Xenopus tropicalis: one gene and its partner. The main gene of each other region encodes a partner of the protein of the gene in region 2 in a complex. Links are inferred from orthologs where the notes say so. Each region holds a gene or a part of one and is shown on either strand. Other genes may lie near its edges. The genes, in order: bicdl1 and bicd2.

Region 1 (4,547 bases), on a different chromosome or scaffold from region 2:
TGAAGGTGAACAGGCAGAACTCTTGTCACAGGCCCTGCTGGTTCAGGGGGCCTGGCCTGATAAGAAAGGGCAGGGCTTTCTGTAAAAAGGTTTTAGCTGGTTGGCAGTATTGGTAGACAGGCGCGTTACACAATTTATTACAGCTACTCTGAGGAAAGCTCTTCTTGCCTGAATGTGTTATGCCAGTTACAATTGCTTGTAGAAGAGGATGGGGGATAGGATTCCTTTTCATGTTTGGCCTAGGGCCTCTCTTACAGTGTAAGCAGACATTAAATTCTATAGCATACCATTATATTTATGGCAATTATGTGCTTCCTACCTTGTGGCAAATGTGGGTAGGGCCCTTTCTGTTTCAGGAGAATAATACCTACATGCACAATGTGAGCTCTGTACATAACTGGTTTGCAGAGTGGCCTACACAGAACCCCGACAGAAACCCAACCAAACAAGTGTGACATGAATTGGAATATTGACTGTGAGCTACGATAGATTACTCAACATCAGTAACCAACTGTACTAATGCTGTATTGACTAAATGGAGGAAAATCCTAATAATATTCCAAACAGCTATTGTAAAGCCTTTGCAGAAGAGTGAAGACTCTTAGAGCAGCAAAAGAATGACCAAATCCATATTAATACCCTTAGTTTTAGAACAAGATGTTGGACAGCAGGTGTCTACAGCCCTAACATATACTGCTTAGAGTACATAGTACACTATGGGACATAATTATCAACAGGGCAACAAACAATTTAACAAAGTTTGCTATAACAAAACGTTAAAGTTCTATATAGGCTAAAAGAGCTGTAAAATGCGCTTTCCTGGCCATGAGTTGTTACACTTGTAACAAAGCAATCACACAACAGGAAGGCTACTATGTTTTGCAAACATTATGCCATCTGAAGGACATTTATTAACTATACAATGAGAGTGGGAGAGGGCTACAGGCAAAGCCTAGGCTACAATAGATGCATTCAGTCAAATAGTTAAATATGATGTGTTTTAGTGTTGTGTTTTTGTGCTAATAAAAAAAACACAGTGCTTAATAATACACCAGATGTAGACCTGTATGTTAGTGCATTAAGATTCAGTTTAATTAGCAGCTGGTAAGAAAAGTATTTCAACTTGCTGCAGCTTCTGGTGACCAGACATCTTCCCTTTTGGCTACCTTCTGCTTTTCCACTCATAATTCAGCATTTAAATGTCAATTTTAATTGGAAGCAATTGATAAATTCATTGGAAGCTAACTTATTTATGTTACCTTGATTACTTAAATTAAATGTAGTTTATTGCAAACACTAATTCCCTTTGTCATCACATATTTTGAATGTCTATGACAATTCAGTAGGTCTTTCCTCTCCTACTCACCCCCAGCACCCCCTTTTCATTTTGGAAATTATCTAGGCCTATATTGAGGAGGCAGCCAGGTGAATATTACCCATAAGAGAAGAATGGAAGAGCAACTGTTATAAAATTATATTAGGAAAGTATCTCCTGATAAAGGCTCTGATTGCCTCAGTAATATTCTTACATTTTTGAGACTGCACAGTGCTGTGACTGCTTAAAAAGATATTGTGGTTTAGATCTCACTCAAAGCATATTTTTTACCAGGACCAACTCCTTGTAAATTTCTGTGAAAGCTCAGCCAGCAATTTTCCTGCGTTATGTTGTACTTCTGGCCAAAGCCAGTCTTATTGGCTTTTTAGAAGTGTATTTATCAATGGGTGAAAGTTTAAACTCGCTATTCGATAAGTACACTTAAAAACGCAAAGGAAAGAATAGAATGTGGGTGAATTTTTTACATATTAAGCCAGTGATCCCCAACCAGTAGCTTGTGAGCAACATGTTGCTCACCAACCCCTTGGATGTTGGCCTCAAAGCAGGTGTTTATTTTTCGATTACTTGGCTTGGAGGCAAGTTTTGGTGGCATAAAACCCAGTGTAAAGCCAAACAGAGCCTTCTTTAGGCTGCCAGTCCACATAGGCTCTTCCAAATAGCCAATCATAGCCCTTATTTGGCCCCATCAGGCACCTTTTTCATGCTTGTGTTGCTCCCCAACTCTTTTTACATTTGAATGTAGCCCATGGGTAAAAAAAGGTTGACGATCCCTGTATAATTTAAGCTCTCAACTCACATTTTGATAAATATGCCCTATAATATGCTCACCTTTTCAGACACTGGAGATCCATGGGAAACTACGTGCCTAGCATCTTACAGACGATATCTGCTACCCTTCAATTCAGAAACACTTATCTCATGGTTTATCATGTGATAACTCTATTGAAGTCAATAGAAAAAAAAAACTGGATTTGAAATAGGAGGAAAGTTTTCATGTAATAAATCACGAGATAACTTTTTCTCATTGAACTGAATCTGGCTGTATGTCTAAAGCCCTTTACATGGGATCTTTGGGATCTTATCAGTGGTAAGTTATAGCTTATATGTAAACTGCTGTGCTATGTTTTAATGTCCTTACCTCCAGCTTGTCGGTCATCTCTCTCTGCATCTCCTCATAGCGCCTGCTCATGTCCTGATTTCTCTCTAGCAGCGCCTTTCCCAGCCTGGCTGCCAGCACCAGATCCTTCTCCTTCTGCCTTATGATGCACAGAAGTTCCGACTGTTCCCTCACCTCCGGGCCCTCAATTTCTTCAGGGTCCCCCTCTCCTTCAGCTGCCAGAAACACCAGCTCCTCATCAAACTCTAGCTCCCCCCGCCCCAAAGCTGCCTGATCTCCCCGCTCCGAGGAGGCTGCAGGGCGGCTGCTGTCTGACAGGAAGCTGATAGGAAGCTCCATGGGGCGCTGTCCGGAGCCAATGGTGCTGAAGCGGGGAGCTTCGGACTGTGCTACCTTCACACACCAAGCCCAGGGCCCCGGCACCCAGCGTGAAAGCCTACGCAGCCAGCCGAAACACCTCCGCTAAACAGCACTGTTTATAGCATGGCTTTACCGCCCCAGCCAATTCTACCATGTGCTGCTGCTGCCAAGCCCGTACAACTGCAACCCCGCTAAGCACAACCTGTCACCAAATCCAGCCCCCCCTCCCTACACTGTGGAAGCAAAATCCCTCTAACCAAGGTACGACTTATATGTCATGAAACACAGCAGCTGGCTCAGGACTCGTACAATCCCGGTGAGCCGGCTAAAGGGCCTTACACTGGCTCAGTGCTTAAGTGGGGGATTAGCAGCTGTCTGACATCCACCACAAGCGTTACCTGCCCAAACACCCTCAGTGGCACAGAAGAACGCCAGGCTGGGTGTAACGCAAGCCAGTCTGGAAATCTGCCCACAGATCCCCCCATGTGTCGGATACTCACCCCTCCCGAAGTGATGACTGGGTCCCTAAAACTGTCACGGCCCCTAGCCAACCCGCGACAACTGCCCCAGCCTACACGTACAGATTGTAACACTGCCCCACGGCATCAATGTACTATGTACAAACACATGCAAACAGCCGCACTGCCGCTAAACCAACTACGCAAAGGCAAGCACCCCCGCGCTACCGGCTACAGTGACTGATTGGATATGTCTTCTATCAACCCCCCGCAAAGCCTCACAGACCCCAACCCCCTCCCCCCGCTCCCCGTACTAGTGAGCTTAATATGAGTGGGTCCGGCCCCGAAGGCCCCGGGCTGCGCTGCTCTCTCCTCGCCCCTCAGCGCTCAGCTCCCCCTCACCCATCTCTGCAAGGACCCTAGGAATGCGTGCGCACACTGCGTGACGTCACAAGCACCGGTCTTGTTGGGCGCCGGGATTGGATGAAATATCTTGCACGATGAGAGTAGGAGCTCCTTATCCCACCCTCCGTTCCAGGCTGGAGCTCAAACCCCTAAGGTTAACTTATGGGGAGACTGCTGCTTGGGAGGAAATAGAACTACGTGTTGGACAAGTCAGAAAAAGATGTTCAACTAAAACGCACACATCAGAGAATTCACTAGAATCATTTAGGATTTCTCAGATATTCCAGTCATAATTTTAGCACCTGCAGACCCATACGGTAAGGCGTCCTCTAGAAATAAATGTACTTTTTAGGAAGTAGATAATAGTATTTTTTGTGTAAGATGAACTACAGTCTAGTTAGATGACTACAAAAATAATAATAATTTTAACATCATCCAATTAAATTTCTCTTCGAATAAAGAAATTATTGGGGAAAATAATTTTACAATTTTCCCTTCAAAGCCAGTTTGGCATGGGTTACCTCTGAGATCGAACAAGGTTACAGACATTGCTGTAGGAGAGATTCTGTTCCAAGAATATCTTGGGAAGATACTGACCTTAACATAAGGCTTTCAAGAGTATCTAGAAAAGCAAATATTATTTTCCACCAAATTTAAATGAGATTCCGGCTGCATCTATGGAAGCTCTACAGTTTGGGAACTGCTGCTGAAAGATCTGCACGTTTTCTGCACAATCGAAGTGTGTGTGTGCGTCTACACACACACGTATAATTTAGTATTTGCCTGGACCCAAAAACCAGGCTGAGTTTGTAGTTTATACAATGTATGCACAACACAACTATCTATGGCAACAAAAGTAACAAGTACAATT
Region 2 (4,504 bases):
GGAATAACTGTTACTGTTACTTTAAGTAATAACTACAACTAAATAAAAACAGACCAACTGCAAATTGTCTCAGAATATCACTCTCTACATCATACTAAAAGTTAACTCAAAGGTGACCAACCCTTTAACCCCTGGCTGACCAGACTAGAATACAACAACTCTATGAATGATATTAACCTCACACAAACCAATGTCTAAAGGGGTAGTTCTTTATGTCACCCTCACTAACTTGTACCCAGCAGCACCCAGGCACCTTGGGGTTTAGCAGCGCTAGAGTGCAAGCTCTTGAGCACAGATATCTGTTACACTTGTTGCAAGGGGCTTCAGGATTTGTGCAACTGCAGAAACTTTTTCCCGACCCCTAACCCCCAAATTTTCCTAATGAAGATATTCCAGCCCCCACCCCAACATAAACAGGTCACTGAGGCCCAGCAGGGGGCGCCTCCCAGAGCCATTACTGTATCAGACTGGAATAAGGATTGTGGCACCAAATCAGTCCGTACTTGGCTGCCCGAATCTTCTGGGCTCCATTTTCCCTGCTAGGCCGGGCTGCCAGATTTATTTTCCCAAACCAGCCAAAGTCAGTGCTAAAATCAGCCCAAAACCAGCCAAAAGCCACTTTGAAAGTAGCCCAAATATAGCCCAATATGTGCAATGAAAAAGAATTCTAGAAAATAAAAGTATATATGGGAAAAGCTGCCTTTATAAAGCGTATAATCACTGCCCAGTTACTGGCATGGCTGTTTCCCTGCTCTCTGGGCCCAGTTACTGGGATGGCTGTTTCCCTGCTCTCTGGGCCCAGTTACTGGGATGGCTGTTTCCCTGCTCTCTGGGCCCAGTTACTGGGATGGCTGTTTCCCTGCTCTCTGGGCCCAGTTACTGGGATGGCTGTTTCCCTGCTCTCTGGGCCCAGTTACTGGGATGGCTGTTTCCCTGCTCTCTGGGCCCAGTTACTGGGATGGCTGTTTCCCTGCTCTCTGGGCCCAGTTACTGGCATGGCTGTTTCCCTGCTCTCTGGGCCCAGTTACTGGGATGGCTGTTTCCCTGCTCTCTGGGCCCAGTTACTGGGATGGCTGTTTCCCTGCTCTCTGGGCCCAGTCCCTGCAGGTTATTGTAGTTTTGATGCCTCAGATTCAGCAGAGGAATAGAAAAGGGAGCTGCTGTCTATAATTGCATGCTGGGTATTGTAGTTTTATAGTCAGCCTAGCTGTAGGCCAATAGTAAAGATACAAACTACATTACCCAGCATGCACTGGGACAGACATGTCAGAGGGAAAACACTTTAGCTAGTTTCCAAACTACAAACCCGCCAAGGCGCCAAAAACGAACCCAAATTTGTACCTTGGCGGGTTTGTACTTTGGAAACCCTTCTGGGCTTTAAATTAGTAGTAATTTGGCGGAAAACCCGCCAACCCGGCAAACCCTGCTGCTAGGTCTCCCCTACCCCGACACTTTAATCACCCCACCCTTCCCCACTTCCCAGATGTTTTGCCCTTATCTTGGCCCCGCCTCCCTACTTTCCAGCGCTACTGAGCAAGCGCACTGCCCATCTCCAGCTTAGGGACCGTGTGCAAAGCGCTGTGCCCGTAAGAAGGCTGCGCCCAGTGCTTGTCAGATTGCTCCCTCCCTATCCGCCCCCGCTATTGCCAGACGTTCCCTGCGCACAGCCTGCAGTGGGGAATGCGGAGTCCGGGCTGGAGAGGGGGGATCGGTGCCAGGCTGAGCTGTGCCCGGGCACCATGGCACTGAACGCGGCGGAGGAGGAGGAGTACGAGCGGCTGGTGCTCGACTCCGGTCCCGAATGGCTACGAGCGGAGGTGCGGCGGCTGGTACGGGAGCTGGCGGAGACCTCTCGGGAGAAGATCCAGGCGGCCGAGTACGGGCTGGCGGTGCTGGAGGAGAAGCAGCAGCTGAAGCAGCAATACGAGGAGCTGGAGGGGGAGTGTGAGACCGCCCGGCAGGAACTGGAGCAGCTCAAGGAGGTACCGCCTGGGGCAATAACCGGCTTGGGGGGTATCCTGCTGGGGTAATAACCACTGGCAGGGGCACAATGTACCCCCCCCCAGGGAGAAGGGTATCCTGGGGCAGTTACTGGGAAAGGGAGAAGGGTATCCTGGGGCAGTTACTGGGAAAGAGAGAAGGGTATCCTGGGGCAGTTACTGGGAAAGGGAGAAGGGTATCCTGGGGCAGTTACTGGGAAAGGGAGAAGGGTATCCTGGGGCAGTTACTGGGAAAGGGAGAAGGGTATCCTGGGGCAGTTACTGGGAAAGAGAGAAGGGTATCCTGGGGCAGTTACTGGGAAAGGGAGAAGGGTATCCTGGGGCAGTTACTGGGAAAGGGAGAAGGGTATCCTGGGGCAGTTACTGGGAAAGGGAGAAGGGTATCCTGGGGCAGTTATTGGGAAAGGGAGAAGGGTATCCTGGGGCAGTTACTGGGAAAGGGAGAAGGGTATCCTGGGGCAGTTACTGGGAAAGGGAGAAGGGTATCCTGGGGCAGTTACTGGGAAAGGGAGAAGGGTATCCTGGGGCAGTTATTGGGAAAGGGAGAAGGGTATCCTGGGGCAGTTACTGGGAAAGGGAGAAGGGTATCCTGGGGCAGTTACTGGGAAAGGGAGAAGGGTATCCTGGGGCAGTTATTGGGAAAGGGAGAAGGGTATCCTGGGGCAGTTACTGGGAAAGGGAGAAGGGTATCCTGGGGCAGTTACTGGGAAAGGGAGAAGGGTATCCTGGGGCAGTTACTGGGAAAGGGAGAAGGGTATCCTGGGGCAGTTATTGGGAAAGGGAGAAGGGTATCCTGGGGCAGTTACTGGGAAAGGGAGAAGGGTATCCTGGGGCAGTTACTGGGAAAGGGAGAAGGGTATCCTGGGGCAGTTATTGGGAAAGGGAGAAGGGTATCCTGGGGCAGTTATTGGGAAAGGGAGAAGGGTATCCTGGGGCAGTTACTGGGAAAGGGAGAAGGGTATCCTGGGGCAGTTACTGGGAAAGGGAGAAGGGTATCCTGGGGCAGTTATTGGGAAAGGGAGAAGGGTATCCTGGGGCAGTTACTGGGAAAGGGAGAAGGGTATCCTGGGGCAGTTATTGGGAAAGGGAGAAGGGTATCCTGGGGCAGTTATTGGGAAAGGGAGAAGGGTATCCTGGGGCAGTTATTGGGAAAGGGAGAAGGGTATCCTGGGGCAGTTATTGGGAAAGGGAGAAGGGTATCCTGGGGCAGTTATTGGGAAAGGGAGAAGGGTATCCTGGGGCAGTTACTGGGAAAGGGAGAAGGGTATCCTGGGGCAGTTATTGGGAAAGGGAGAAGGGTATCCTGGGGCAGTTATTGGGAAAGGGAGAAGGGTATCCTGGGGCAGTTACTGGGAAAGGGAGAAGGGTATCCTGGGGCAGTTATTGGGAAAGGGAGAAGGGTATCCTGGGGCAGTTATTGGGAAAGGGAAATGCACCGCTGGGGCAGTTATTGGGAAAGGGAGATGGACCGCTGGGGCAGTTATTGGGAAAGGGAGATGGACCGCTGGGGCAGTTATTGGGAAAGGGAGATGGACCGCTGGGGCAGTTATTGGGAAAGGGAGATGGACCGCTGGGGCAGTTATTGGGAAAGGGAAATGCACCGCTGGGGCAGTTATTGGGAAAGGGAGATGGACCGCTGGGGCAGTTATTGGGAAAGGGAAATGCACCGCTGGGGCAGTTATTGGGAAAGGGAGATGGACCGCTGGGGCAGTTATTGGGAAAGGGAGATGGACCGCTGGGGCAGTTATTGGGAAAGGGAGATGGACCGCTGGGGCAGTTATTGGGAAAGGGAGATGGACCGCTGGGGCAGTTATTGGGAAAGGGAGATGGACCGCTGGGGCAGTTATTGGGAAAGGGAGATGGACCGCTGGGGCAGTTATTGGGAAAGGGAGATGGACCGCTGGGGCAGTTATTGGGAAAGGGAGATGGACCGCTGGGGCAGTTATTGGGAAAGGGAGATGGACCGCTGGGGCAGTTATTGGGAAAGGGAGATGCACCGCTGGGGCCGTTATTGGGAAAGGGAGATGCACCGCTGGGGGGGGGGGTAATTTGGATGCCCAGTGGCTTCAGGTGACAGGTCCCTGTCTGCCTCTCCAGTTACTGCTAAACGGGGTACATTGTGTCAGCTATTGCCAGTCAGGGGGGGCTGTGCCAGCTGTGGGGGCTAATTATGGCTAACTGGGGGTTCAGACTGTTGGGGGTACCAAATCCTGCCAAACGGTAGGTGCCAATATTGTGCCCAGGCTCTGCCAGTTACTCTGCAAGGATTGTTCTCAGATACTGCCCCTGCCTGTGGCCCAAACACTGCCCCCTGCCTGTGGCCCAAACACTGCCCCCTGGTATTGTGGGCATAACCCTCCTGTCAACTCAGCGGGCACGGAGCTTCTAAAGAATGGATTATCTCTGCCGCTTCTGGTACCAACAGGCCGGCCCATTTAACTGGCGCTGTAAAGACTTTCTCCTACCAACTGGCCAACTTTCCTGCCAATGACTGACCCTCCTGC

Evidence for each region.
Region 1: bicd2 (region 2) and bicdl1 share a complex: the UniProt entries of both Homo sapiens proteins name them as parts of the tripartite complex. The link is inferred for Xenopus tropicalis from reciprocal best matches to the Homo sapiens genes BICD2 and BICDL1.

What each region holds. Positions count from the first base shown.
Region 1 is NC_030677.2:151,456,959-151,461,505, reverse strand, and holds the start of bicdl1 (BICD family-like cargo adapter 1), read right to left. Parts: upstream 3,017-4,547; 5' UTR 2,793-3,016; coding exon 2,475-2,792; intron 1-2,474. UniProt on the Homo sapiens protein: Acts as an adapter protein linking the dynein motor complex to various cargos and converts dynein from a non-processive to a highly processive motor in the presence of dynactin.
Region 2 is NC_030680.2:150,841,925-150,846,428, forward strand, and holds the start of bicd2 (protein bicaudal D homolog 2), read left to right. Parts: upstream 1-1,522; 5' UTR 1,523-1,739; coding exon 1,740-1,982; intron 1,983-4,504. UniProt on the Homo sapiens protein: Acts as an adapter protein linking the dynein motor complex to various cargos and converts dynein from a non-processive to a highly processive motor in the presence of dynactin.